Tamandua tetradactyla: one gene and its partners. The protein of the gene in region 1 interacts with the protein of each later gene in a pairwise test. Links are inferred from orthologs where the notes say so. Each region holds a gene or a part of one and is shown on either strand. Other genes may lie near its edges. The genes, in order: FXR2, PTS, BYSL and C13H10orf62.

Evidence for each region.
Region 2: the proteins of FXR2 (region 1) and PTS interact in binary tests that used the Homo sapiens proteins (3 or more experiments, as listed by UniProt). The two-hybrid records come from large-scale screens. The link is inferred for Tamandua tetradactyla from reciprocal best matches to the Homo sapiens genes FXR2 and PTS.
Region 3: the proteins of FXR2 (region 1) and BYSL interact in binary tests that used the Homo sapiens proteins (3 or more experiments, as listed by UniProt). The two-hybrid records come from large-scale screens. The link is inferred for Tamandua tetradactyla from reciprocal best matches to the Homo sapiens genes FXR2 and BYSL.
Region 4: the proteins of FXR2 (region 1) and C13H10orf62 interact in binary tests that used the Homo sapiens proteins (3 or more experiments, as listed by UniProt). The two-hybrid records come from large-scale screens. The link is inferred for Tamandua tetradactyla from reciprocal best matches to the Homo sapiens genes FXR2 and C10orf62.

Annotation. Positions count from the first base shown.
Region 1 is NC_135332.1:61,463,647-61,470,881, reverse strand, and holds the start of FXR2 (RNA-binding protein FXR2), read left to right. Parts: upstream 1-4,235; 5' UTR 4,236-4,288; coding exon 4,289-4,369; intron 4,370-7,235. UniProt on the Homo sapiens protein: mRNA-binding protein that acts as a regulator of mRNAs translation and/or stability, and which is required for adult hippocampal neurogenesis. Specifically binds to AU-rich elements (AREs) in the 3'-UTR of target mRNAs.
Region 2 is NC_135334.1:28,962,417-28,970,182, reverse strand, and holds the start of PTS (6-pyruvoyl tetrahydrobiopterin synthase), read left to right. Parts: upstream 1-4,755; 5' UTR 4,756-4,870; coding exon 4,871-4,953; intron 4,954-5,813; coding exon 5,814-5,893; intron 5,894-7,074; coding exon 7,075-7,097; intron 7,098-7,475; coding exon 7,476-7,532; intron 7,533-7,766. Other genes in the region: BCO2 (carotenoid-cleaving dioxygenase, mitochondrial), read left to right, coding at 98-211. UniProt on the Homo sapiens protein: Involved in the biosynthesis of tetrahydrobiopterin, an essential cofactor of aromatic amino acid hydroxylases. Catalyzes the transformation of 7,8-dihydroneopterin triphosphate into 6-pyruvoyl tetrahydropterin.
Region 3 is NC_135331.1:99,516,613-99,524,327, forward strand, and holds the start of BYSL (bystin), read left to right. Parts: upstream 1-4,711; 5' UTR 4,712-5,060; coding exon 5,061-5,325; intron 5,326-7,715. Other genes in the region: MED20 (mediator of RNA polymerase II transcription subunit 20), read right to left, coding at 1,850-2,004, 4,495-4,508. UniProt on the Homo sapiens protein: Required for processing of 20S pre-rRNA precursor and biogenesis of 40S ribosomal subunits. May be required for trophinin-dependent regulation of cell adhesion during implantation of human embryos.
Region 4 is NC_135339.1:58,872,590-58,878,532, forward strand, and holds C13H10orf62 (uncharacterized protein C10orf62 homolog), read left to right. Parts: upstream 1-3,996; 5' UTR 3,997-4,001; coding exon 4,002-5,084; 3' UTR 5,085-5,430; downstream 5,431-5,943. Other genes in the region: HOGA1 (4-hydroxy-2-oxoglutarate aldolase, mitochondrial), read left to right, coding at 1-106.

The DNA of each region.
Region 1 (7,235 bases):
ATGGGATTGGGAAACCTTGACCAAAAGGGGGAAGAGAAATGAAACAAAATAAAAGTTTCAGTAGCTGAGAGATTTCAAAGAGAGTTGAGAGATCATTTTGGAATTTATTCTTATGCAGTATATAGATATCTCTCATCAGTTTTTTGTGTGTGTATTGGAGTGGCTAAAAGGAAATACCTGAAACTACTGAACTGAACTCCAACAGCTTTGATTATTGAAGATAATTGTATAATATACAGCGTTTAAGGTCTGACCACATGCTTGTGAAAACCTAGTGACTGACATTCCCTTTATCCAATGTATGGACAGGTAAGAAAATTAAATAAATAAACAGACAAATCAAATAAAAATCAGCAATCACTTTCAGTTGCATTTTCTGTGTTGTGTGTTTCAAACTCAAAACAGCATGCAAATATTCCTACTTCTGGGCATTTCTGTTGTAAGCATTGGCTGTTGCCTTCTCACTGTTGAAGATAAGGAACCAGCCTCTTGCCAACTCCTCCATCATCCCAATCCACCTCCAGCGACATCCTTGGGATGAGGTTCTTTGCCATTGTCTTTAATCAAAAAACAACCAACCGCTTTACCAGGTGTTCCCTGTCTGTCAACTTTACAAAGGCAAACTTATCTGATCAGCTTCATCAGAGAGGACTCCTGCTTGGAGGCAAGCAATGGCTCCAAGTATTCTAGGATCTGGGGAGAAAGACGTCAGGGGGAAGAGGGGAGTAGCAACAATCAGTATGTAAACTTACATTTAATTCCCATTTTTATCCACCTTTCTATCTTCCTCCCACTATTTTTATTTATTTAGAAACCCCAAAGCAAGTGGGGCATCTGTTATACACACTTTGTACTCCAGCTAGTAATCTTACTGAAATACAAGTCTGCTGAAAATCCTGTAATGGCACCCACCGTTTTCAGTGGAAAGTCCAAACATCGAAATACGTTTCAAGTCCTCTAAGCTCTGCCTAAGCCAACCCTTCCAGCCATGTTTCCTCTCCAAGTCTGTTCCAGCCATGTTAGACTATTTTTAGCACCTCAAGTCTAGGCTTTCTATACATGCCGTTCCCCTGTCTGAAATGCTGTTCCCTTTTTTCCCACTCCCATCCTTTACGTGAATAAACAATGACCAGAGCAGATGAAGGAGAGGAAAAGTCAAACCTGAGAAGATTGTTGGTGCCTGTGGCTTGGAAGTTGGTGACAGTGCCTGTCTTGGTTTGCTGGATCTGCTGTAACAAAGCACCACAGACTAACTGGCTTAAACAACAGCCATTTATTTATCACAGTCCCTGAGGCTAGAAGTCTGAAATCAAGGTGTCAGCAAGGCCATGCTTCTTGGAGGTGAATCCATTCCATGCCTCTCTGTTGCCTTCTGGTGCCGGCAATCCATGGTGTTCCTTGGCTTGTGGAGACATTATTCAATCTCTGCCTCCTCCACATGGCCATTTCCCTGTCTATACATCTGTCTCTCTGCCTCCAAATTTCCTCTCCTTATAAGGAACCCAGGTCTCCAGTCATACTGACTTCAGTCTAACTAGTAACATCTTTAGACATCTTATTTACAAATAAGTTCAGAGTCACAGAACCAGAGGTTAGGACTTGAACATGTCGTTTTGGGAGACACAATTCAATTCCTAACAGTGCTATTTTGAAAAAAATTCAGTCCTTTCCTACGCTTAAGAGATCAAACCCATACTCTTCAGTCTAGCGTTCTTGGTAATCTGCCCTACTTAATTTCCTTAACTCTCTGCACTCATCAGAATCACTGCTGGTTGTCTTCTGACCATTTCTGTCATTCTAATTACTGCTGCTCCTTCTCAGTCACTCTTGGAGGCACCTTTTTTTTTTTTTTGACAGCTTTTTAAATACTGGTGTAGTTCAGAGTTCCATCAGGACCTTAGTTATTTCTAAACCTTTTATTTGGAGATTCAATTTACTCCTCGGACTTACTCCTCAGACTTAACTATGCTGATGATTTCCACAAGCACCTTTCTAACCCAGACTTCTCCCAGATCACTCACCTGTAAGACATTTGTTCCTTCACTCAGGAACTGTGAGCTGCTGGGTAGACAGTGATGGGGACAAACAGACATGGACCCTGGTCTCCAACATCACAGAGCTTATGGTGTGATAGTGGAAGAAAGACACTGAGTAAATTATTATTACATCCGTGATCAGGGCCACAAAGGAGTAAAAGATGCTTTGGCAGTGTAAGATGGGGGACTAATAAAATTAGCATACCAGAAGGGTAAGAAAATTATATTTAAACTGGGACCCAAAAGAGAAATTTGTTGAGACAAGGGAGTATCTCCACCTGAATGGCCCACAGGCCCTCATAAAGAAAGAATACAAAACCAAACTCACATCACCATTCACTCTGTAATCCAAGTTAGAAATCTAGGAATTGTCCTGTGTTCCTCCCACTACTTCATTGCCTCCTGACCTAACCCCACCCCACACTCTATTACCAATTCCTGTGATCCTACTTCAAATTAAATAGGCTCAAATTCAAGTTTTATCTATTTTGCCCATAACCGTAGTTCAGACAGGTCCTTAGCTTCTTTTTTCACAGGTCTCACTGTCTTCAGGACCACCCTTACTCTTCAATCTATCCTCTAAAATTGTAAGATGCAAATCTTATCACATCAAGGGGTAGCAACCACTTAAATTCTTTCACTGGCTCTCCATTATTGATAAAATAAAAGTTATTCTCCTTAACTTGTCTTACAAGTCCTTGACAGTCTAGCTTCCTGCAACTCCTTCCTTGGTGCTAAATGCTAGATGAAGTAGATATGGTTCCGCAAAGGACGTGTTCTTTCTGCTCTTTGCATCGGCTTTGCCTCTTTGTAGCACCTCTGTTTGTTCTTCCCTGGCCATTCTTAAGTCCTGCTAACCATTGTCACCTTGGGGTTCCCTCAATACCTAGTCCCTATCTCTATCACATCTTAATCGCACTCTGTGCATTTATTTATTTAAATAAACTCCTTGAGCTCAGGGACCACATCTTGTCTTTGGATCCCAAGCACTTAGCTCAGTGATTGGAACATAGTGGGGGGGAGGGGGCTAAATAAATGTTTGCTAAATAGTTACATGCGCACACATGATTCTAATTTCTGTACTGTTTTACTCGATTTCAACTACATTTCTTATCTGTCTTAGTTCAGGGATCCTAAGTTTCTCCCCTGCTACCCTCACTCGATGACAATTTCTCCTATTTTGAATTTCCTCAGCATTTAGATTTCTGAGTTTGTGCCAATCTAAATTGCATTTCGCCATCGCCTTGCAACTATTCTTTGACCTTTCATTACATACATGATCAGGATCATCTTGTAATATCCTCAAGGCAAGAACCGTAACTCAAATCTCCTAAACACAAAGTTAGAGGAGCTTGGAGAGACATTCAATACAAGTCTATGGGCGATAAATCTCGGCGCACGCGCGCGGGACACCTCTTTGCCTTTCGACACTACTTTTTTTTTTTTTTTTCCTTTGGAGCGTGCGCACCAAGAAAGACAAAGGTGGGGAAAGTGACCAAGCAGTCGTTCCGGCGCATGCCTATCCCTAACTTGTCCAAGCCTGGTATGGCTCCTAGTGGTGAAGTGGGTGTGGTATGACCAGGAGCCGCAGAAGTCCAATCCCACGGAGTGAGAGCGGTCCCTCCCTCCCTATGATTGGTCAGCGGTCAGTGTTGTGGGGCGGGGAAAGGAAGAGCTCGGCGGGGTGGAGTGATGGGGTGGCGAAGAAAGAGAGCTAATCTCGCTCTGCGCAAGCGCATGTAAACGACCAGGAGGGGGCGTGAGAGAGGGAAGGAGAGTGTGGAAGCCCCCATGCGCTGGCGAGCGCGAGCTGGGGCGCTAGCCTTGGCGCCTGCGCCGTGGCCCGCCGGGCTCTGCGCGCGGCGGGCGGGTGCCGGGTGCGCCTGCGCAGTAGACGGCGGCGGCAGGGGGAGGTGGAGGCCGTGGAGCGGCAGAGGCAGCAGCGGGTCCCGGGACCGAGGCAGCAGCGGGGGCGGCGGCGGGCGGAAGCTGAGGTGACGAAGGCAGCGGCGGCGGCGGCCGTTTCCCTCACGGTGGCGGAGACCAAGGCGGCGGCGGCGGACGGGGAGCGGCCCGGCCCCGGCCCCCTGCTCGTTGGCTGTGGCAGGGCCGCCGTGGGGCCGGCCCGGCTCCCGCCCCCCGCGGCTCCCCCTCCGGCTCCTCCTCCGGGGAGACGCCGGGGGCCCGGCCCGGCCCGGACTCAGACCGCTGCTGCAGCCGCCGCCGGGGGAGTCGGAGGCGGTGGCAGCGCCATGGGCGGCCTGGCTTCTGGGGGGGATGTGGAGTCGGGACTGCCAGTGGAGGTGCGCGGCTCCAACGGGGCCTTCTACAAGGTGAGGCGGCGCGCCGATCGGGTACACCGGCCCCTGGCCCTCTCCCAGAGCCGGAAAGAGTGGGGCGGGATGGAGCCTCTCCAGCGAAGTCCTGACCTCTAAGAGCATTAGACAAGCCTCACTCCCACCCTCAGCCTTCCTGGGGAGACCTCTGGGAGTTAACCCTCTTTCCTATTTTGGATCCCTCTGGTACACCTGCTTTTTGCTCGCGCCTCAGAGGAAATGAACGTCAGGGCATTATTGTGCCTAAATCTGTGCCCTCCGCCACCCCTTTCCCCTAGAAGAGACCCCCATTTAACCAGTTTCTTATTGACTTTTCCTGTTTCGTAGTGCAAAGATATACCTTAGACCTTAATCATATCATTCCCACAGTCCAAGCACATAGAGAATTCTCCCCCCCGTTAGCCGTCTTGTGGAAAGCCATTCGTTCATCTTCCTTAGAGAGACTTCTGCCCACTGACTCGGGGAAAATCATCCCACTTTCATCGTTCATTCCTGTTCGCAGTCCAAGGAGAAACGGTCAAAAGCCATTTAAACTATTTGGCGTCTTTGACCTTAGGAACTCTGGGTTATTTCAGGGTCAAGTTGCCTCCCAACCATAAAGTGGCATCTTTTTAGTAGTCTTTTGCCCCGCCTCTTTACCCCAAGGCCAGCTGGTCTACCATTCCACCTAGGGGATGGGCTTTTGTTGTCACTTTGACCTCGGATACATTTAGATCATTTATATGCTTTCTCCATTTTGAGGAATGTATAAGTTTCATATATCATAATATCTAAAAGGGGATCTCACGTGGACCTCTTCTGTTTATCTTCTTAAGGATTTTCACTTCTAGAAGACTTCTTGCCAACTCCCAATTTGGGAATCTGCTAGTAACCTTTTTTGGAAGGAGGAAGGGAGTATCTTTCAAAGACCCTTGCTTATTTCAGCCTTCTCCTCACCAAGGATTTGGTTCCTTAGAATTCCTTTTAGACCATCTATCCCTTATCTCCTCTGAATTCAATTTCTAGGACATCCCCCTCACCCCCCCCCCATTTAGATTAGGCCAGAGGAAGATCCTTCTTGCCTCCTAAGGATATTTCTTTGTCACTGTTGTTATTCTGAACCTCTTTGGGCCTTATTCCTGGAATTGTCACAGAGACTTTCCTGATTCCTGTCTCATTCTTCACTCTCATCCTGAGAAGCTGGGTAAAAGATTTTTTAACATCACTGGTGAGAAGAGCCTCATTTCCTTAACATCTCCTCAAGCCTTTTCTTCCACAGTAGACCCCTCCACCTTTATGCCCTTGGAAATAATTTCTTCCCTATGAAATCATAGCTTACTTTATCTGGAAAGGGTCATATATTTGCACTTGGAGTGGATGGTTTCTATCCCAAGTTCAGTTGATGAGTTCAGTGTATTCATTTTTTTTTTTACCCACTAACCATATCTACTTTAGTCTCCACACCAGATTTCTGTACCTGTCTCTGTCTGTTTGTCTTAACTTCCCTCTCAGTTCAAGCCTCTAACTTATTGTAATATTTTTATTCTATATACTTTTGTAATCATCAGGAACCATCTTATTGCATGTCTAGCTTGAAGGAAGTTCTTGATTGATCTCTTTTGTTATTTTTTCTACATACTTTTATAACTTGGAACTTCTTCTTGAAGTTTGCCCCCAGAACATTTATTTTCTCCGGGAAAAAAAGTCTTAATTCCTTTATAGTTCTGATAGAGTGTATTTGTTTCATATTCTTTCCCCTGAACTTACATTACCTTTACTGAAATACCCTTCTGCATAAGATGTTATCCCCATTTTCCAAGTATCTTGTCCTTCATCTGGGCCCCCCCTCAAATTCTGAGTTGCAAGAAGAGTGATTGTTAAATTGAGTCTGAGATCAAGATATGATGTTTACTTTTGTTCATGGAAGCATGGGAGCCAAGCACAGCTGGGAAAGATTGGTATCCTGTTCAAATTAACTGTATGAGATGGTTGGTAAGGGAGAGAGTTCTCTTTTCACATAGTAAGTGTCCAACACAGAGTCTTCCTATGAATCTTTCCCTTTTCTCCTGTGAGCTATGGCAATGACAGACCTTTGATTGAGGGACAGAATACTTTGGTTCAAAGAGTAGAGTTTGGAATTGAGTCGAAAGCCATGTAATGTGGATTTTGTGTTCTAGCCACTTTAACATTTTCTGTTCCATTACAGTTAAAAACAACAACAAATCCCTAAATTCAGGCTAATCTTTCCTCAGCTTTCATTGTCATATAGACACTTAGCCAGACTGACCTTGCTACTGATTTAATATTCATGACTCAGCAGACTTTGGTGTGGATCAGAGAGTATTTACACTGTTTTTAAAACTATAAATTTTGGAAGATCCCTTTCTCCTCTCTCAGAATGGGTCCTCTTCCAAGGTGGAAATGCAAATGTTAGATCTGAGATCTAAGTTTTCTTGTAGCTACCCCACCAACCCTTTCTTTTCTGTCAGAACTTAATGTATTTTATTCTTTAAGTTGTACTCTCCTAAATGAGAGAATGTACCCTTCTGGGCACATTCATTAAACTTTTCAGACCCTGCCTGGATATATATATTTATCATCCCATTCTTAGTATATAATCAGTAACTCACAATATTATCACATAGTTGTACATTCATCACCATGATCATTTCTTAGAACATCTGCATCAGTTCAGAAAAAGAAATAAAAAGAAAACAGAAAAAAACGTCATACATACCATACCCCTTACCCCTCCCTCTCATTGATTGCTAGTGTTTCCATCTACCCAATATATTTTAGCCTTTATTTCCCCTAATTTTTTTTAATTTTTAAAAAACATAACAACATACAAACATGAACATTCTTACCATGTAATCATTCCATT
Region 2 (7,766 bases), on another chromosome or scaffold:
TGTCTCTGCCCTTAGGAATTTTGCAGCCTAGTGGAAAAGATAGACAGATTTTAAATGAAAACAGAGGGAATTTTCAGTGTTGTCTTTCTTTTTCTAGAATGAAAGCAATTTTCTCTTAGTCTTGGATGCTAAGAACTTTGAAGAACTGGGCCGAGCTGAAGTGCCTGTGCAAATGCCTTATGGATTCCATGGCACATTCGTACCCATCTGATGGGACAGCCATATGATCTGGGATCTAGATGTAAAAGTAATGTTCTCTTCAAAAAAGAGAAGGAAAAAATGGCACCCTGTTTTCCAAACCATAGACATTTGAGTGCATATTAAATTTCTATTAAAAATGGGATTCATGAGATAATTATGGTTTTACATTTTCTTACTGTTCTCCTTGAAAACATTAAGCAAATGTTGATACAACCTTTTGAAGAGGGTTTTAAATATACATATATTGTCTAGAATTTCCTCTAAGTAATACATGAAAGAACTAAAGTGAGATCATTAACACCACCAGATTAGGTGGGTAACACAGATGCTCAAAGTTGGGAGAAAAAATACAAATGGTCATTGATGGTACATTTTGAATATAGACCTGAAAAGCACCTTGTTCTTCCCACCACATCTGCCTGATACCTTTGTTCCTGAGGTACTTAGAGAGGACAGGAGCTCAGTTATATCATGTTTGGAGGCTTTTTCTAAACTGGTTATTTCTCTGCTGTCAACAACAGAAACCACTGCAATTGTATAACTCTTCTAAGGACCTCTCATTACCTCCCCCTTCCCTCTCCCCAGCTCAGCTTGGGAGGTGCTTGTTTTGAGGGACAGCTCTATAATTGGGTATTTCTTCTAATCTTCGGGTTGAAAGTTTGTAGTCCTTTATTAATTTGGGCAACAGGTGGCACTAGAGACCATATATTCTCCACATTTCTGATAACCATCAATTTTTATCAACAGCCCTAATCAGCCCAGATCTGCATTTTTTTGTCAACACCCTCAAAATCCCTTGCTCCCTTTTTCTTTAATTCCAGCCCTCATGACCCCTTAGCTCCAGCCCTAGGTTATTATACTGTCCATTTTCCCTCTGCATGATGAATGTTGCTGGAGAAACCCCCCAAAACATGTTGTTTTGAAGCAACTGTGAACTCATGGTCACTAGCCAAAGTTAGGTTTACTACACATTCATGGCTCAAAATAGTCAATTTCCTCTCTAATTTTCCTTAAGAGTTACTTCAAACTTCACAAACTCGATCATTTTTGGAGGAGTGCTCTATGTAAATGGCATCTGTGGGAATTTGATTGTGGCTATAAGTGGAAATGCCCATGTCCGGGTTGGTGAGAGCAACAATAGGTATGGAATGGCAAAAAAAAAAAAATGCCTAAATTGTATGAATTCAGCAGATATAGGAATTTAGCACCTGAGATAATCATAAGAACATGAAGTCCCCTGATATTTCATGGAAGACCCTGAAAAAGCATTGTACTTCCCCCAACATGATGTGGACTTTTGATCTATCTTCTCTAGATCTTAAGGGTGAAGGAAACTCTGGCTGACATCTGGAAAGTACAGATCTCATCATGCCTTTCCTCCATCCTAATATATAGGAAGTGAAGTTCATACATAAAAATGGTTAGTTACATATAAAATTTTGACCTAGGGATGCCTGAATTCTGCTTCAGTTCTCCTATCTATAAGACTCCTGAAGGAGAAAACAAAAAAGGATTAATGATATTTTATAATCCAGGTGTGTATTTATGGTAATTCAGTACAGAACTTTCTGGTAAAATATGAGTGAATATATAACTAAAGCTTAAAGCCTAGACAGAGGCTCTTCCCCTCCCTAAGCCCAAGACTTAAGGAAAGGGAGTTTGTAGTACACAAATGAGAAGAAAAGAGAGAGAGAGAGATAGCTAACCTGTCTGAAGGTACCAGGCCCTGGTCAAACGGGCAAGAGACAGAATAGAACAGTGAATAAAATGTGCAGGCCTTCTTGAGGGTAGGGGTGGGAATGGAGAAATTTTAACTCAATTTATTCCTTTGAACTTAGCACCAGAGAGTAAGCTACAACCACATGTGAGACTTATAACACATTGTGATCTTGCTTGTGAGTAAATGAGGCCAGTCGATGGTTGGAAATATGATTCAATCAGATGCGAATTCTTTTTTCTTGGGGAAGAAATAGGAGACCGGTAAGAAGGAGAAGCCTTGAGAAGGGGACGAAGCTCTTCTCTTTTATACTTAAAGTGACATTCAAGGTCTTTCAATAATTTGATCCCCAGTGGGTATTTTCAGTCTGATCTCTCACCTATCTCCCCAGTGCGGTCAAGAACTTCTCACTATGCATTAAACAAGCTGCACTTTTCCGAGTTTTCTTTGTCACCCTATTTTCTCTTTCTGGAATTCTCATCCTTTCTTACCCGTCTGGTGAACTCCTTCAAAATCTTGCTCAAAAGTCATCTCCACTTTGAAATTGTAGTGGCTTGAAGCTGTATGTACTCCAGAAAAAACTGTTTTTAAATCTAATCCATTCCTATGGCTATGGACATATTGTAGGTAGGACATTTTGATGAGGCTATGTCAGTTAAGGCGTGACCCACCTCAATCAGGATTGGTCTTAATCCTCTTACTGGAATCTTTTATAAGAGAATGAAATTCAGACAAAGAGAGAAAAACTCAGGAAGCAAGAAGATGAAATAGAACAGAAGGAAGAGACCAGGAGATGCTGCCATGTGCCTTGCCATATGGTGTAAGAGCCAAGATTACTGGCAGCTGACCTTTGGGAAGAAAGCATCACCTTGATTTGGACATTTTCATGGCTTCGAAACTCTTAAATTCTCATCGTTTAAGCCAACCTCATTTGGGATTTTTTTGGAGCAGGAAACTGAAATAGAAGTCTTCTTTTACTTTCTGAAGCAGAATTAGCCTTTTCTAGTTTATCCTGATAATATTTTTGTATCTGGCTCCCCATTAAAGGGAACTGTGTGAGGATCGGGATCATGTGTTTGTTACACTCATCTGTGTGTTTCTGGCATTTGACAAAATACCTGGCATTTAGTAGGTGTGAAGTAAACGTGTTGTCTTAATGAGTGTCTGGAAGGTGATCCTTATGGGGGCTACCTTCCCTATTTTTGTTCATTGGTATACTCTCTGGTATCCAGCACAAAGGAGCCAAGCACAAAGCCTTGACTTAGTAGGTTTTGGTAAAGAAAGTTAAGGAAATGTTGTTTGCTTATTGGTTAAATAGGATCACTGAGGGTGAATTTGGTGAGTAGCCTTATATAGCACTATTTTTTTATTTTTAAATTTTTAAAATTTTTTAAAATTTTTACATGGGCAGGCACCGGAAAACGAACCCGGGTCCTCTGGCATGGCAGGCAAGCCTTCTTGCCTGCTGAGCCACCGTGGCCTGCCCTAGCACTAGTTTTAATGAAATATTTTAGAGCAAATGCAATGAAATATTTTAATGGCCTAATCAAGTAACAAATGTAATATCTCAGAAACCCCTTTTACCTTTTGTTGTACTTTGATGCTTTAAACTGCTTCCAGCATGAGTAAAGTGTTTGTGTAACCATTGACTGTTAGTGTATTTACCTCTGATGCAGTTAATACCTGGGAAATACTGTTTACATGTTGAGTGATCTTGAGAAGTCATTAATTTATCTTTGCTTGCGTTTTTTCATCTGTAAAGTGAGAGTATTAAACAAGATAATCTCTATCTCAAAAATCTCTGAAAGTTTATTCTTTGAAGTCTTTTCTTTACAGCCCAATGGGGGACATGGGACAAACATTTGAAAATGTATGAGTGTTTGTTACATAACATGCTAATAATTTAATGCAGAACAAACAATATATAATATATACCTGGAGACAGGAGACACTTGAGAAGTCATTGTGCTTTATATTTCTGATACATCCATGATTTTAAATTATCTTTCTTTTCTAAATTTATGAAAAACTTCTCCTACTTTGTTATTGACTTGTTCCGCTTTTCATCATTTGATAGTTTCTCATATAGAATGTCCACTATTCTCCCTAGTGCCTAGAATAGTACCAGCCACATAATGGATGTTCAATAAATAAATATTTAATGAAAGAATCAATGGAGGCAGGAGGCGACATGGTCCTGGGGAATGTGAAGAGTTTGGAAACTGTTAGGAGCAGATTAAGTATATAAGATCTTTTCACACTAGAGCTATCTACATTGGCCAGAGAATTGCTAGTGCATGTGTTCATGTGTTCAAACTATGCCAACCCAGAGTACTAATTGATCCTGCATGCTTTTGGATGGTAAAGACGGCTTGAGAATTTTCCTTGGTAAGAATCATTACAGACAGTTCAAGCTAGCATCATCTATGAAATCCCGTGGTCCTGCAAAGGCTCTTAAATTCCTGCTCCCTTTATATTACAGGTGAACGGTGGCTCTGGTCTTATCCCAGATAACTACCCCGAGGCAGGAGGTTTCCAGTGTAACAAACCCAGGGCTTTGTAGAAGAGAGTGAGTGGGAAGGAAGGGAGGCTCAAAGAGATCACGCCAGCATCCAAAATGTACTCAGATTAACCCTAACCGGAAGACATTTACCCAAGTTGGACAGACAGAAAAATCAGACACTTGAAAGCTCGAAGGTATGCCTAACTATCCCAACTCTAGCTCTCTGAAAAGATCCCGGGAGTGATGGTCCTTTGTCAAGGCCTCCAAGTCGACAGGGCGGCGCTCTCGATCTCGGGATTGGCCAGAGCCCAGTCCTGGGAAAAAAGCCGGTGAGTGCTTCCGGGGGCGCGCGAGCCCGCACTGCGCAATCTCGGACGGCGGTGCTTTCTTCCAGCTATCCGCGGGCCCTGGGGAAGAGGGCGTGCTGAGGCGCCCGGGCTTGGGAGACCATGAGCACGGCGAGCTCGGGCGGTGGGCACCGTGCACAGGTGTCCCGTCTCGTCTCCTTCAGCGCGAGCCATCGGCTCCACAGGTAGGGTGTGACCATAATGTCAACAGTGGGAGGCGGGGCCTTTGCCCTGCTGGAAAACGTCTCTGGGAGGCGGGGCAAGGGACGTGCTTACGCGCTTGCTTTTGCGCTCTTTGGGTGCGGAACTAGAAGATGGAGGGTTGACGCTTGGCGGCCGAGCTTTATTGTTGACCACAACAAAAATAACGTTGGCAACTAGAGTCGACCGGGCTTTTGAGGAGGCAATAAAGAGTGGTGATTAACTGAGCAGATTGCAGAGTGAGAATCAAGAGGCACCACTAGGTCCGTGACCTGAAACAACGTTCTTCCCAGATTTCCTTAGTTTAGTTCAAAAGGTTGCTGTATAGTTTAAAGGAGTTAAACTTTCCCACATTGCACAGTATCTGGCACATCGTAAACACTCAGTAAATGATAGCTAACGTATCCCAGGAGCATTAGCTACTGAATCTAATACAATTTAAAAAGTGAGTTTTATCCCCATTTTGCTTAGATTAAAAAAGAACCCAAATTCAGTTTCCTGAGTCAATTCTAAAAGCATGCAACACGGTTGGCATTTGAAATCTGGGCTCTCAAATTGATTGCGCTAAAGAGAGACTGCAGCGAGCTTTACCACTTGCTGATGAGGCTCACTGTGAGCCTCCGGTTTCCCCCTTTGTGTGGTACAGTAGTCTAATTAGAGTACACACACTGGTTTCAGTGTGTGTAATGAAATCAAATAGATTTATGCGTTTCCATTTGGTAAGCCAAGGGCAAAACAAATTGTGAAGCTTTTCAAAGGCTAAAACAAATTATAAATGCAGGGAACAGGGGGTGTGAATGTAATACTGTGTCCTACTGAATTTTTTTTTTCCTTTTTTGGTTAGCAAATCTTTGAGTAACGAAGAAAACTTGAAACTGTTTGGGAAATGCAACAGTCCAAATGGCCATGGGCATAATTACAAAGGTGAGAGAAAAACTGATGAAATTTTAGCCCTTTTAGTAAGGATAACAGTGTTCAACAAATACAAGCTTAATGAATGAGATGTGTGGACAGTACATGAATGCTTTGAGTCTTGAATGAAATTAAATGAAATTCAAAGTGAAAAGATCTATTGTCTTGGTTGTGTGAACCTTAAGTTCAGCCTCTCAATCATCTGTTCTATTGAGGACAGTCCGGAACAATAAGTGGCTTAAATAAACTTTTTCCTTGGCGTTAGGTGCTTAATACGATTTTTTTGGCAGTGTGTTTCCTTCTAATTAGGTATGGCAGAGGCAAAATGTTAAAATTAGATTGAATTTTTTGAGCAAATAAATAATGACCAAAAAGGGGGAATTTTGCCTAAGAATGTGCCGACTGGCAGAAAAATAGGTTGGATCTAAAACTTTGCCAGCAGTGTTCTAAGAAAGTAATTAATTTGTGCAAGGGTAAGTGATCTGATTCTTTAAGATACAGCCAATGACTGAAAACACTGCTACATAAGCCATAGGGTGTAATATAATATAGTGTGGTGGAATAAAAGAGCAGGTGAGTTTCTAGTCAGGGTTTCTAGCTTAGGTGCTGCCTCTTATTTTATCTATGATATCTCAGTATCAGTTTACTCACTTAATCATATAATACCTATGGTGTTTGTGTGGAGCTGAAAAAATATGTAAATATATAAAAGTTATTGATTTGTAAAACTCTGGTTGTCAGGATTTTTCAGATGCTTTTATACAAGCACTTGTTAATTCTCAAAGCATTAATGTAAACTGGGTATATTTGTGTGAGTAAAAGAATAACAGTAGTGGTTTGCCTGATCAGAAAAGTATCATCCAGAATTGGGCCAGGTCAGTACATAGTTGGACACCTGCCTATACATTTTCTACTTTTACAGGCAGAAATCCAGCAGCAGTGACTTATCACCTAGGGAATTAACATCATAGGCTGAATTTACAGTTTGGGCCTTGGCCTTTGCTAATAAGCTCGTCTCTCTTGGTTGAGTGTTGCTTTGGTTGATAAAATATTTTAACTAAAAAAAGTAACTTTTGTTATACATATAGCTTTGGGTGGGGAATCTCTAATAGTTAATTTAAGCTTACTTGTGCTTGGATCTTACTCTGTCGTAAGTCATGCTGGTTTTTGGTATTTTGTTTTCTTTCCCATAGTTGTGGTGACAGTACATGGAGAGGTACGTGCTGAAAATATTTGTGTGGTTTGTGCAGATTGCTGGGCCCTTTCTCAGCCAACGTGGCGGCTTATATTGAAAACTTCTGTTCCAATCCATATTGCTTCGCTGTCAGCCTTTGTGTGATGAACTGCTGCCATTCCAGGTCACTCCTCTCCCAAAGTGTTGTCTTTAGTATGCTATATATGGACAGGTAGAAGAGCAGTACAATGAAACAGATGCCTCAAACATACGGTGTTTCCATGCTGAGATTGATGATTGTCTCTGGCATGAAGGCAAATGTGGGCCCAATCTCTGTACATTGTACAGCTTTTAATAGTTTGCCAGAGGCTTAAATCTGGAGAACTATTGTAGTAATATTCACCTTTGTTTATTCTTTAGATTGATCCTGTTACAGGGATGGTTATGAACTTGACTGACCTCAAAGAATATATGGAGGTAATGACATGCTTGGTGCTTATTATGTGAGGTCTCCTAAGTCAGATACAGATATCAGATACCCCCATTTTCACCTCCCCAACCGAGTACCTTCGGAAGCCATGATCTTGTGAGTGGAATTGGGTGTGGGAGTCGAGGAGTAGTTATATAGAGGCCTTCGAAAGTTGTTTGGTTGACTGAAAGGAAATTAGTCAGAGTGGTATTAGTGATGGTAATAAATGTAACATGCTTATT
Region 3 (7,715 bases), on another chromosome or scaffold:
ACTGTCCAAATTACTCTGGGATATACTGGGGTATCACTCTAACCTGAACAAACCAATAAAATATCACACCCTATTCAAGATTCCATGTACTTATTTTTGTTCAACTAAACTGACTATACGAGTTAAATTAGGAAATGACCTACCCAAAATATAAATTTTGTGCCAACTAAGCATCTCACCCTCTAGTTTCACACAGATGTTGAAGTTTTAAAATATGGATGATATCATCCTTTACCCTGTATTCTGATATACCTTAGTCCTACCCAGATCAGCTTCACTCATATCTCTACTCAAAGTATGATCAATTTTTCAGCTTTTCAAACAGTTCCCACGTGGGGTACTACTGACTTTCAAAGCTTCAGAGCTCTAACTTTGTGACTCAATGTTTACTGCTCTTTCCATTCTATCTCACAACCTGCCACAAATGTCCTCTATCTCCCCAAATAGACTGTAATTTCCTTAAAAATAAGGGTCCAATCAGCAAAACAGGGGCCATACCAGGTAGATTAACTAGAAGTAGTATGCCACCTTATATCTATAAGCAAATGTCTTATTTTCCAAATGCTTTCATAACTATTATCGCTTTTGATTCTTATATATTTCCAGTTGAAGGCAAAACAAACATTGCAATTCCACCACTGATGAAAGCCTGTACAGCTATCAGCTCCAATTTATTAAATGACAACCTCAGTTGAAAGTGTTTTGCATATATTAACTTATTTAATTGCTACAATAATACTAGGAGATAAGTACTTTAACTGTCTTCATTTTATACATTAGAAGAATCCAAGACATATTGGGAAGATCCAAAAACAAAGACCACAATAGGTAGTTTCAACAGAGGGAATTTATCATAGGGAACAAAATACAGGGATTGGAAGGACCGAAAAAGTAAAAAGTATGGTATGGCAACCCAGAGAACAGCAATACAGGAAGCCACAACCATCTATGGGCTGCAGGGAAAATGAGAAGATGTGCTGTTACTAGCCAGGAAGTGGGGTTACCTAGCAGAAGCTAGAGCCAAGGAGACATGGTTAGGGCCAGGGACACCGTCCAAAGCATAAGGAAAGGAAGGCAAATACTTGTGGTCTCCCTTTCTGCAATCTTCTTCCTGTGCCTTAGACTGCAGGAGATGTCAGGGAATGAATCTACAAGGAAATAGGCAAATCACTGGAATAGGAACAGCCACAGATGGGTTATGGGACTTATTTAAAGTTGTACATTTATTAAGTGGCAGAGTTGGGACTTAGGGGCCTGGTTCCACAACCCTACTTTTAGTAGCCGGGTTGTGAAATCATCTAAGAATGTATATATTTAGCAAGTTACCGCTAGGGCCAAAACTAAGAAAACTCAGGTTCCCTAACTCATATTCAAAGATCCTCTTTCCCTCCCTGCCAGCACAATTACCATCCACACTCCAGTCAATGTGATACATTTAAGACAAAAGCTGATTCATTGGTCAATGTCAATGTTACACTAATATGGCCAAAGCCACTGGCTAGGTGAGGGAAACAGAAAGCCTTTAGGCAGAAAGTACAAAAAGAAAAAATTATAAAGACTTCTGAGCCTAAAAAAAGGGATCTTTTTCAAATTTTTAAGTGGATAAGGTTCATTTGGGGAACAAGTAACCCAGGTGATGCTGATGCAATTGGTCAATGATCAATTCTTTAAAAGAAACAATGTTTTAAAAGTTCCCAAAAAGAAAACAAAATAGCTCCAGTCTAACAGATGAAGAAACAACAACTTAAAGAATTCAGAAACACAACTAGATCAGAAAGACTTTAGTGAACATGAATGTCCATCAACGCCAAGCCAGGTTGCAGCCATCCTACAGTGCAATCCCACTGACCTTGGCTGCCAAGGGTGGAAGCCGCCGTATGGTAGGTCTCACAGTCCACACAAAATGTTCCTTGTTTCTCTGCTCCAAGCATCTCCAATTTCCGGGTGAGGAGCTCCACAGTCTGCTGGACACTCTTGCCCTCAGCCACAGGCATCTGGGACACACTGGAAGGAAAAGGACCAAATCATTAGCATCCAGAAACACACATGCACTAGTATAGCCATTCAACAAGCCAACTGCTCACTCACAGCATCACAAGTCATCAGGAGTTACTTTAGAGACCACTCCACTCACGTGACTCTTAATTTTAAAGATGAAGAAACAGAGGCCCACAGTCTCTGAGAGTTCCTCTAGGAACTACAGCACAGGTTTCAGGACTCATGTACCAGTACAGTGAACTTCCCATCACACCAACATCTACTGATGTTAACTGTGCCATCATGCAAGAGATGTTAGGCTGAGTATTCAATAACACTGAATCACATAAAACAAGAGATTCCCTTAGTAATTTTTTTCAGTTCTAAATATATCAAGGAGAAAGTCTCAATTTGATTTAGTACTTTTTTCTTTTTTTTTTTTTTTACATGGGCAGGCACCAGGAATCGAACCCGGGTCCTCTGGCATGGCAGGCAAGCATCCTTGCCTGCTGAGCCACCGTGGCCAGCCCGATTTAGTACATTTTTACTAACTCTAACACTTTCAACTTATGTTCTTCAGTAGAGTAACAATTAGCCACATCTGGCTATTTAAATTAATAAAACAAATTAAATGAAATATTCAGCTCCTCAGTAGCACTGCCCAGATTTCAGGGGATCAATAGCCACAAGTGCATAGTGGAAAATGTTGATATGGAAAATTTCTATCATCTCAGAAAGTTCTATTTGACAGCCTTGAACAAACAGAAAGCAGAGTTCAAATTTATAATCTTTGGGAGTGGGAGGCAGTGGCATCTACAAGAATTTAATAATGCAGGAAAACGAAACATGTTATTTCCAAGATTTCCTTCTACTTGAGGGTGAGTGAAACTGGCTTCCCCTTTAGAGTAATAGATAACAAGTACCTACCATGTGCCAGACAGTGTACTTCAGGTGAATTAACTCTAAAATGGGGACTTCAGATGAATTAACTCTTCCAGTCCTCACAACAACCCTATAAGAGGTGTTATTATTTATCTCCTTGCTGCAAATGAGTAAACTGAGGTACAGAGAGGTTAACTAATGAGCCCAAGGTCAGACATTCTCTCTAAGGATGTAGTTGCCTGTTAAATAACATTTAAAGGAATAAACTTAAAAGAAAACATTAGTACCTAATAGTATAGCTGGTAACTAGCTATGGCAAAAATCATGAAGACAATCATATGCCTGTACTTTGGTAGACAATGCATTACTTTATGATCAATCGATTAAACGAAGCTAATAAGTTAGAGTCCTACTGCCGCTAAAAATTGTCACTACTATCTCTCAGAAAAAGCACGGTTATATAATAGTGATGTGACTTAATTTTACACAGAAGAGGATCCTAAAAACTAATGCTACAAGGATAAGTTCTAAGATTCTGAAAAAGTTGGAAAAAGATAGAAAGCACAACAGATAGAAAGGCCTTTCTCTCTGGATGCTTTCTCTTTTGAAAGACCAGGGGTTTCCAGGATTTCAAGCCTCTGTGCTGTGAACTTTTTATTCCCATCACTCACATATCTCCCTAACACCAGAGGACTCGAAGATCCTCTCGAAGGTCTACCGTGAGAAGCTAGGGCACAATCAGACAATCCTGTAAGAGCCTGAGTTACAAGAAAAAGCATTTCCCACAGGTTGTTATATGAGAAGTCAAGAGCCACTAACTTCGGATATCCCAGTCCCCAGTTCTCTCTGACAGGAAAGATGTGCACACCTGAAGACATTTTTTTTTAATGTCCTGAAACCTAACATTTTGTAACTAACACCTCCAAAATATTAGACCCACGCCTTTCCCTATCACCTTGCCTTCTTCCAACTGTGGCTTATAACATGTTAGAGAGAGAAAGCCCATAGAAAGTAGAACCTTGTAATTTAACATAGCAGGAAACAGGTCCTGTGAAGAGGTGAAGCAACTGCAACTCCATCTCCTAATTTCTAATAGTTTATTTTATATAATGGCCAATGTAGAACCAAACACTTTTTGTGGCTGTAGGGAGGGGCAAGAGAGACCTAAAAAAAAAAAAAAAAAGGCATTCTACTCGTTGCCTGACCACCACTTTCTTCAGCCCTGCTTGCGGACGGGTCCTGGTGCGGATATCCTATCCCCAAAGCTGAAGTACTCCTAGCAGTACCATAACATAAGGTGCAGGAAAATGTACGAAGAAAAAAGGAAAGGAGGTACACAACCACTGATAGGCTCCTAGGATTAAAAACTCCTACCTGCCCCCCCCCCCCCCAAAAAAAATCTTACCTGCTGCCTTCCAGGAGAAAGGAGCTTATCTCCGAAGAAACAGACCCCGAGAACCTGCAACCTTCGCGGGATCCCCTCACCCATATAACCCAGGGGCATTTTGTTCAGTTCCCTCAGGGTGTCGGAGAACCCCGGTCCCGCTACACCTCTCGGTCCAGTCAGGCTCCAAGGGCAACTTCATGATCCCAAAACCCGTCTCACAAAATCCCAAGTGGTCTGTGCAGTCTTACCAAGTCACTCCCATGGTGTCGGATGAGAGGGTGGCAGATTCAAACAGCTGAAACGCGGTGCTCTCCGACCGCCCACATTAAATGAAGCCCCCAAAAGTAAGCTTCGGTCGAGGGAGAAGGCACCGGAAGTTATATAAAAACAAAGCGTCCCATGGATGCGCCAGGAGGGTACAGAGACGTGCTTGGGCGCTCTCACCGTGACGTATGCAGAGACGTCACGCAGCCCAGTGACAGCTTCAGGCTTGGAAGTATGGACGTCCTATTTGGCTGGATACCCAGACTTGGATCTGCGATGCTTGGAAAGCATGGTTCGAACTGCCACCACTTACAGCAGTCATCGTTAAATGCAAAGAATTTATTCAGGATTTGAATTTATTCAGGGCCCGTGCGAACTTTTAGGGAGTGGAGTTGGGTGTCGCTGACGGCATTTCTGTCCTCCAATCACTCGGGGGCGCTGTGCTCTCCGCGCGGCCTGGTAGGCTTTGGAAGTTCACTGCACAAGCGCACTCTCGGCTGCTCGCCTCTGTCCCCACGTGTGAAGGTTCGCGGCCACTTTTTCGAGAAAAATGCCCAAATTCAAGGCGGCCCGGGGAGCCGGGGGTCAAGGAAAACTTGCGCCCCTGGCCGAGCAGATCCTAGCTGGGGACGCAGTGCGGGCCGGGACCCGGGAAAAGCGGCGGAGCCGCGGCACCGGAGAAGAGGAAGAGTATGTGGGGCCCCGACTGACCCGACGAATTTTGCAGCAAGCGAGGCAGCAGCAGGAGGAGCTGGAGGCCGAGCATGGCGCTGGGGAAAGGCCCATGGGGCCGAGGGAGCGCACCGCGCGGCTGGGTGAGCGGCCGGGAATGGGGTGCGAGGGAGAGAGTGGATACTTGGATGAATGGCTGAAAGGTGTCCGTCAGGGGAGAAGCTTGGAGTTTTGAAAAAAGTGCCCATATTACGCTCTTTAGAAAGTAATGGGATGGGAGACCGAGCCCTGAAGCGGATTTAAGGTGGTCCAACCCCACCTCAACCCACCCCTGCCCACTCCTAGTTTTAGGCAGTAAGATTCTAGGGGTCCTAGGCGCCCCTAAAATTAGGCCAGCGGGATGTGATCGCTCATTATCCATTAAATTGTCCTGGTATTTATCCACTTGCTCCATAAGTGTTTATAAGGAAGTTTGGATAATTTGGGTACAGAAACGAACAAGTTTGACACTGTCCTTTCCCCTAAAGCCAATCTGACCTCTCTACTACTTTCTGCGCTTGCTCTCTCCACTCCACCCCACCCAGCCATATAGCTTCATTGTTCCTTGAAGTTGGCAGATTAGGGCCTTTTCCCTGGTTGTTCTCTCTGCCTAGCATGTTCAGTTCCTATACACCTGCAGGCTTACTTGCTTAATTCTTCACCTTTTCAAAGAGGACTTTTCTGACCACTCTATTTAAAATTCCAGTACCCACATTCCAGTTTCAACAGTCCTAGCAGCGCTCCTTTGTCTCATTTTTTTTTTCCATTCCAGTTGTCTTCTTTTGACCCAGTGTATTGATTTGTTATGTTTATTTATGATCTGTGTCCCCCAGTTAAAATGTACCAGAGATTCTACGAGGACAGAAATTTGTTTCTCTTGTTCACTGATGTATTCCCAGTATCCTGAACAGTGCCCTACATATAGGAGGCATCAATGTTTGCTGAATGAATTGATTAAAGAAGGATGGTGAGGTACATAGGAGCTTTTGTAGACCTGGAGGCCATACCAAGATTTAAAGCTATCTAACATTGATCAGACCAAATGTGTGGTTCCAGAAGTTTAGATTGGCTGTAGAGTAGAGAATTTGTTGAAAGAAAGCAAGGTCAGTAGCATGGAGACTAGTTAAGGGATTGGTGAATGAATCTAGCAAGAAATGATGCTGGTCTAGGTTTAGAAAGGGCTGTGAAGGATTTGAGAGATACTCCATGAGGTAGAATCGAATAGGACTTCGTAATTGATTGGGTTTGCAGGCTGAGAATATGGACAAGGCAGGGCTGGGAGGTAGTCACCACAGTAAGTGGTGCAGTCTTGGGGAAAAGAATGAGTTCACTTGGTGACAGATGAAGTGCCTGGGTCATCTAAGGAGGGTACAGGAGAAGCCTGGAGTTAGCATCTGGATCTAAGAAGAAAGTATGGATTTGGAAGTTGTTGACATGTGAGAACAAAATATTTGTGTATTCCCCCTCCCCCCACCCTAATTTTAGTTCTTTCATCACACAATGCTCTGTTCTTAATGATCTGTTCCTATGTAGTATTTTCTCTCCTCGATTGGATTAGTACCCCTCCTCCCAGATGCCCACCAACCTCTAGTCTTCAAAAAATCAGTTACTCAAATTGGTTGTTGGATTGAAATAACTCCACTGCCTCACCTCTTAAGACTCTCCACAGTCTGGCTTCAATTTACCATTGTAGCCCTATTTCTTGCCACTACCTAACACAATCGAATCAGTCCCACGTTGCCAGGAAGGTCCACACCCCTGGGATTCATGTCCCACGCAGAGAGGGGGAGGGTGGTGAGACTGCTCGTCATGTTGGCTGGAGGGAGAGGCCACATCTGAGCAACAAAAGAGGCTCTCTTGGGGGTGACTCTTAGGCCTAAATTTTAAGTAGACTTGACCTATCCTTTGTGTGGGGTTAAGTTTCATATGAACAAACCCCAAGACTGGGGGCTCAGGCTACAGCTTTGGTTGTCCACACTGCTTGTGAGAAGATCAAAAATTCGACTTGGGGAGGTTGAATTTCTCCCTGCTCTCACCATTCCCCGAAGGGGGCTTGAAAATACTTTTCCACTCACTGATCAAATCACTCTGGGATTCATCGGGGCATCACTCTGGACAAACCAACAAAATCTCACATCCTACCTGAGATTCCAAGTACTTATGACGTTCAATCAAACTATCTACATAAGTTATATTAGGAAATGCTCTAGTCAAGATATAAATTTTGTAACAAATAAACATTTTTTGCTTTAGTCTCACACGTAAAGTGACATTTTAAAATATTAATTACCATCTATTTTCAGCACCCTGCAATAATGACATTCCTTTATTCTTCCTCATGCAAAAACATTTTTAAAATTTGTACATTGTACATTTCACTATTGTTATACACTCTAGGCATTCCTAGATTATACTATCTCAATCTTTAACATCTATCTTTCTTTCTGATTTCATTTATGTCCCCAGCCCTCCTCCCTCTATCATTTCCACATGC
Region 4 (5,943 bases), on another chromosome or scaffold:
GCGGGCATCTACCCCCCTGTGACCACCCCCTTCACTGCCACCAATGAGGTGGACTATGGGAAACTGGAGGAGAACCTGCACAAACTGGGCACCTGCCCCTTCCGAGGTAAGCTGGGCCTCTCCGCTGTGGGAACTGGGGGCGAGGTTAACCACCCCGTTCTCCTCACCAGAGACCATGGGGAGGGGGCACAGGCTCTGTCAAGTAGCTCAGGGCTTTTCAGGTGCCCGGGTTAATTTACTATAGGAGAGGGACAGGGGACACTGGTCTGGGGGGGCAGGAGCTGGGTGGAAAGCTGCCTGCTGGTGTGCAACCTTGCACTGAACCTCACCTGCCTCATTTTTCCCAACTGTAAACTACTAAAGTGATTGCTTGGCTCTCAGCATTACTGAGGTGTGAAAGTCCTGTCAACCACGTCCTCCTGCAGACCCTCACTTCCCTTAAAGCCCTTTTCACACCTGCTCTCTAGGCGAAGCTTCCCTTGGCCCTTCCTCTCCAGATCACATTTGTGACCCTCCCCACCCAACACAGCACAGGCACAATAGATGAAGGTAGAAGAATTGGTGAGTTTGGCTTGCACCCCCACGTCGGTCAGCTGACGACCCTCTGAGGTAGTACTCTGGATAGCCCTGCTTTACAAATGGGAATCTGAGGCTCATAATGACAGTCACTTGCCTAAGATCACTCAACTAATACATGGCTGAGCTGGGATTTGAACTCAGCTGGCATCTGCATGACCCATGCTTTGTTTGACTCCACTGTACTGACTCTCCTTATACCCTGCTGGATTGCTAGACCAGATTATGGAGAGAGCCCTGTTAACAAGCAGAGTCTGGTCAGCACCAGCTTTGGGAATGGAGTGGCTCAGACCAAAGCAGTAACAGTATAGCAGTTAGGAATGTGTACTCTAGATTCAAAACACAACTCTGCCGCTGACTTAGCTATGGGATAATCTCTCAAAACCTGGGCTTTCCCCATCTGACAAATAGAGTGAATAATGCCCATATCATAAGATGGTTGGGAGAAAAAAAATGTGAGAATGCAAGTGGCAGGCAGCAGTGAATTGCAAAGAGTGATACACATTCAATGGTATTAACTCCAATGACAATAATTACTAAAGTGACAGTGTGTGCACTGTGGGCAAAGCTGCTTTCACATCTCATGGTGAGGTGATGTGGCCTTCCCTAAGGGACAGTGAAGTTCCTGTGGATACCCACACTGAGCAAGGTCACACTCTCTAAACAAATTGCTGCTGGAACTCAGCTCATGGGGGCCTGAAAGTTAGAGCTGAGAACTGGTTGTCTTGAAGCAAAATGAGAAGCTGCTTTGAGCTTCAGAGAGAAGACTCTGCTTCAGATTCAAGGACACCCTAGGACAAGGAATTGATGAGTGGACTTTGCATTTGGTATATGCCTTCCACCCAGAGAATCCGGAGATCCTCAGGCTCTCCTCTGAACCCTTCTTCCCTCCCACCCATTCACTGCTGGGAGTGCTCCAGGAGCACTGGCTACAGCAGATTTCTGGCAGGCCGCTAGGCACACATACTCACTTGGCTTTCTCCCTTGCAACCCATGCTGGCTCCCACTTGCTCACTCTCAGCCACATACCAGGAAGGCAGTGGACTGTAGTAGAAAGAGCCCAACATCTGGAGTTAGAAGACCTGGGTAAGAATTCTGTTTCTCATATGGATTAAAACTAAATAAATAATAGGGGGAACAAATGTTAAATTTAGTAGATTGAAATGCTAGTGATCAATGAAAGGGAGGGGTAAGGGGTATGGTATGTGTGCATTTTTTTCTTTTTTCTTTTTATTTCTTTTTCTGAATTGATGCAAATGTTCTAAGAAATGATCATGATAATGAATATATAGTTATGTGATGATATTGTAAGTTATTGATTATATACCAAGAATGGAATGACCATATGATAAGAACGTTTGTGTTTGTAGGTTATGTTTTAAAAAAAAAATTTAAATTATAAAAAATAAATTGTTTCTGCCAGTTACGGGGACCTTGGGAAAATCGCTTGATTTCTTTAACCCAGTTTCCTCATTTTGAAATGGGCACTGAGCCTTCAGGCTCCTGGCCACAGGGTTCAACATACTCGGTCCAAGGAGCTCAAACCTGGGTCACGGCACAGAGAACATAAAGCCGTAGGGCCCTGTCACTGCTCCCAGAGCACAGCAGGATGTCCAGGAAGGGACACCGAACAACTTTAGCTCTGAAATATGTGTTTCTCTTGTCTGGATCCTGGCCCCGGGGTAGGGTTTGCAGTCCAACACTTAGGGTCAGAGGAGAGAACCGCCACAAACCACATGGTAGGGCCCTCCAGCAACGAGCTAAAGGTCCTCAAAACAGGAGCCTTAAAGCTGCCCTTGATGGATTAGTGAACAGGTAAAGGACTCCTCTGGAGGACATTGCCTGAAACTGTGTAGCTCTTTTTTTTTTCAGCATTGTTAATTTGTAGATTATTTGAATGAAGAATATTCTTTCCGAATAAAAGGTACGAGTTGTTGCAGCAGGGCCATGTAGCCCTGAACTCATGCCCTAACAACCTCAAAGGTGGACTTTGAATCGCTTATAGTGAGGTGAGTGGACGAGTGTAGAGCTACTCCAGCGGGATGAGTGAGGTGAGGTCCTCCCTAAACTTTAAGCATGGGACATGTTATCTCAGCATGTAGACTACACTCTGGCATTTTGTTTACATAGTTATCTTTGTATAAACTAAGATTATTACTTTGTTAAATAAAATATTTTGTTTACAACATCACACTTTTTGCAATCCTGTTTCTCGCATTTCTTCATTTTTAACACCCTAAATGTCTCTGTAGGAATAAAAGTAGCCCAGGCCTGTTTTTACCCCAAGGAGCCCTGACTATAACTCTGAATCATGAGCCAAACTTTCATTTTTCTGCACCTACAGAAAGTCTGGCCACAACGTGAACAATGCCATTTACCTGGAGGCAAATTCTGGGTTTACAGGTGCCTCACTAAGGCAGGAAGGGGCAGCCCCCATCCTGGAATGACCCCCAGGGGTCTGGGACCTAGTGAAATCTCCTGTCTTATCTGCTCCGCCTTCTCAGTACCACTTTTTCTCCCCAAAGTTGTGGCTTCGTGTTATTCCAGAATAAGCTCCGTCCTGGGCCCCTTTTCCTTCTAGACCCTGCCCTATAAAGCGGTTGGGTGCTATCAGTGAGGAAGGAATGCGGTGAGTCCTAGCAGCAGAGTTGGTTCCCAGATGGAGAGCGTCACTGTCCTCAGGCAGCCCGGAATAGATGCCAGTCCAGCCACGGTGGGTCTTCTGCCATGGCCAGCCTGACCCAACTGTCTCAGCGCCCTGGGGGCCACAGTATGGGGTTGGGGGGATAAACCAAAGACTAGAAGAAGAATCGCAGAATGGGTCACAAGCAGAAGGCAAAAGGGACTCAGATTTGGGGCTCTCAGTTTGCCAGGCTGCTATGACAAATACCACACAATGGGTTAGCTTAAACAACAGGAATTTATTGACTCACAGTTTTGAGGTAGAAGAAATTCAAAATTGAGATACTGGCAAGGCTTTCTTTCTTCTTGAAGACTGCATTGTTGTGGTGCTGGCTGTATTGCTGCCTGCCATCAAATGGTGATGCCCTCTCCTTTCTGGCTTTTGTGACTTCCAGGTTCTCTTAATAATATTCACCTTCATGCAGTTGGACCGCATCTCAATTAAAAATAACATCTTCAATTTCCTGATTTTGATAACTAAACTGTGATAATTATGGAAGACGTCAACAATTGAGTTCCATGTGCTTTATTAAAATATAAAATTGAAAAAAAAAATAGCATCTTCAAGAGATCCCATTTATAATTGGCTCATATCCACAGGAATGCAGATTAAGGTTAATCTGTCTAATATGGGGTTCATAATCCAATCTACCACAGTGCCCTTCCACTGACCTTGGGGACAACTGTCAGGGTGGGAGATGGGACCCAGGCTTCAGGCAATACTGCCAGGCTGGACATGAGGGATGCTGTGGCCTCTCCCCACCCCCACTGCCTTCCTCACAATGGAGTTCATTGCTGAGGTGGGAGGGGCCTCTAGGGAGGGGGCAGCAGGGGGTCTGCTTGCCAGACACCCTTGGGGAGCCTGCCCTTACAAGCATGCACCATACCATCCTGGCTCCCCCACTCCCAGTGTGCTCCTAACTCAGCCTACCTGGCGTGGGGTCCTGGAGACTTTCCTGGAGCTCGTCCAACAGCCATCATGCAAGGTGGTGCTGGCGGCTGCCCTCTTGCTGGGAGGCGGAAGCCTCATGCTGTGGGTTCGGAGGAGGAGAAGGAAGAGAGTTACTGAGTGTGTAGGCAGGTTTTACCCAACAGAATCCTGCAACCCAAAGAATGAGGACTGGATCAAATCTCACTTTAGCCGCCTTTCTGATGAAAAGCTGGAGGCCAACAACACAGCTGTCTGTCCCCCGGTTGACTGTGGGAATGGAGAAGCAAGCACCACAATTCACGTGGAGACCTTCACCACAAGGCACGGAGAAGGAGGCACAGCTCTTCACCGGGAGTCCTTCACCAGCAGGCAGAGGACGTCTGGGTCCTCGTTGATCAAAGAGACCCACAAGGAGTCGGGGAAATCCTCCTCCACAGATGAGGCCACCTGGGCCGCAGTGGCTGCCTGCACCAAGGAGATCGACAGCAAAGGGCGGCAGCTGGCTAACTCCATGCTGCAGCGTGCCACGGCGTACCAGCACACGGGCCACGTGGAGACCAAAGACATCAACCAGGAGGAGCTGAAGGCTCTTGAGGAGGTGGAGATGAAAGTGCAAGGGAGTTTCCTTGTCCGGCAGGAAAACACCACAGCTGGTTCCAAAAACACCCACACTTTCCCTGGTCACGGTCATCAGAAACACCAGGGCCATCCAGGCCAACCAGGCCTCCAGGGCCATCCAAGCCATCCAGGCCGCCAGGGCCATCCAAGCCGCCAGGGCAATCCAGGCCACCAGGGCCACCAAGGTCATCCTGGTCACTTGACCCACCAGAGCCACCAGAGCCACAGTCTGCCCAATGGCAGCCATCAGATCTGTGACTCCTTTGAAGCCACCTAACCACGGATGGAGAAACCCCTTCCCCCAGCAGGGCTGGCACACCCTCACAGGCCTGTTTTCTCCCTTATAGGGCAACCTGTGTGGCCCAGGGTGAGATGCTGCTGGGATCCTCTCTTCCTCCGGTCCCCACAGGAGCACGGGCCCCTTCAACTCCATGCGGGGGCTCTGCCACAGAGGATGGCGGTGGAGGGAGAGCTGGGAGGAAGTGAAGCAGCTGAGACAGACTCTGAGGCTCCTGAAGACCCATGGAGAGGAGACAGACAAGGCAGATCCCAGGAGCAGTGAAAGCCCCACACTTTTGCCAAATGCCTGGAACTGAGCCAATAAAAAGCCCTGTGTACCCTCACCCTGAGTCGGGGGCTCTGTGGCCAACGCAAGGTCTGGGCAGGAACAGGGGAAGAAGGATCCTTCTCCAGCAGTCCTTGACGTGGGGGCCTTGGTCTGGGGGCTGGGTATAGATTCTGGGAATAGGATATCTCCAGGGGATTCAGCACCCACCCACCTGCCATTGCCAAGGAAGGGGAAAGCAGCCAGGTGTTTCCTGGGTGGAAACAGGCTTTTGGAAGGGAGTGAGCTGGCAAGGTGGGCCCCTCTGCTCTTGGCGTTATCCTCACCCTATTTCTTCTCAAGTCACATTACATCCCACACTGTAGTTCCTTCTCTGCCCCACCTTCTTCCCACTGGGGTCCCACTGCCAACTGGGAGCCCTGCTGGTATCTCCCCACCACCTGCCCTCACGGCTTTGTGTCAGTGTGATCTCTCTCCTCCTTTCTCTGATACTAATATTGGCATGGCTGTGGCTGCTGCTACCAGTATCACAGCACTGTTTCCAGCACCCTGATTTCACATTTTTCGTGGA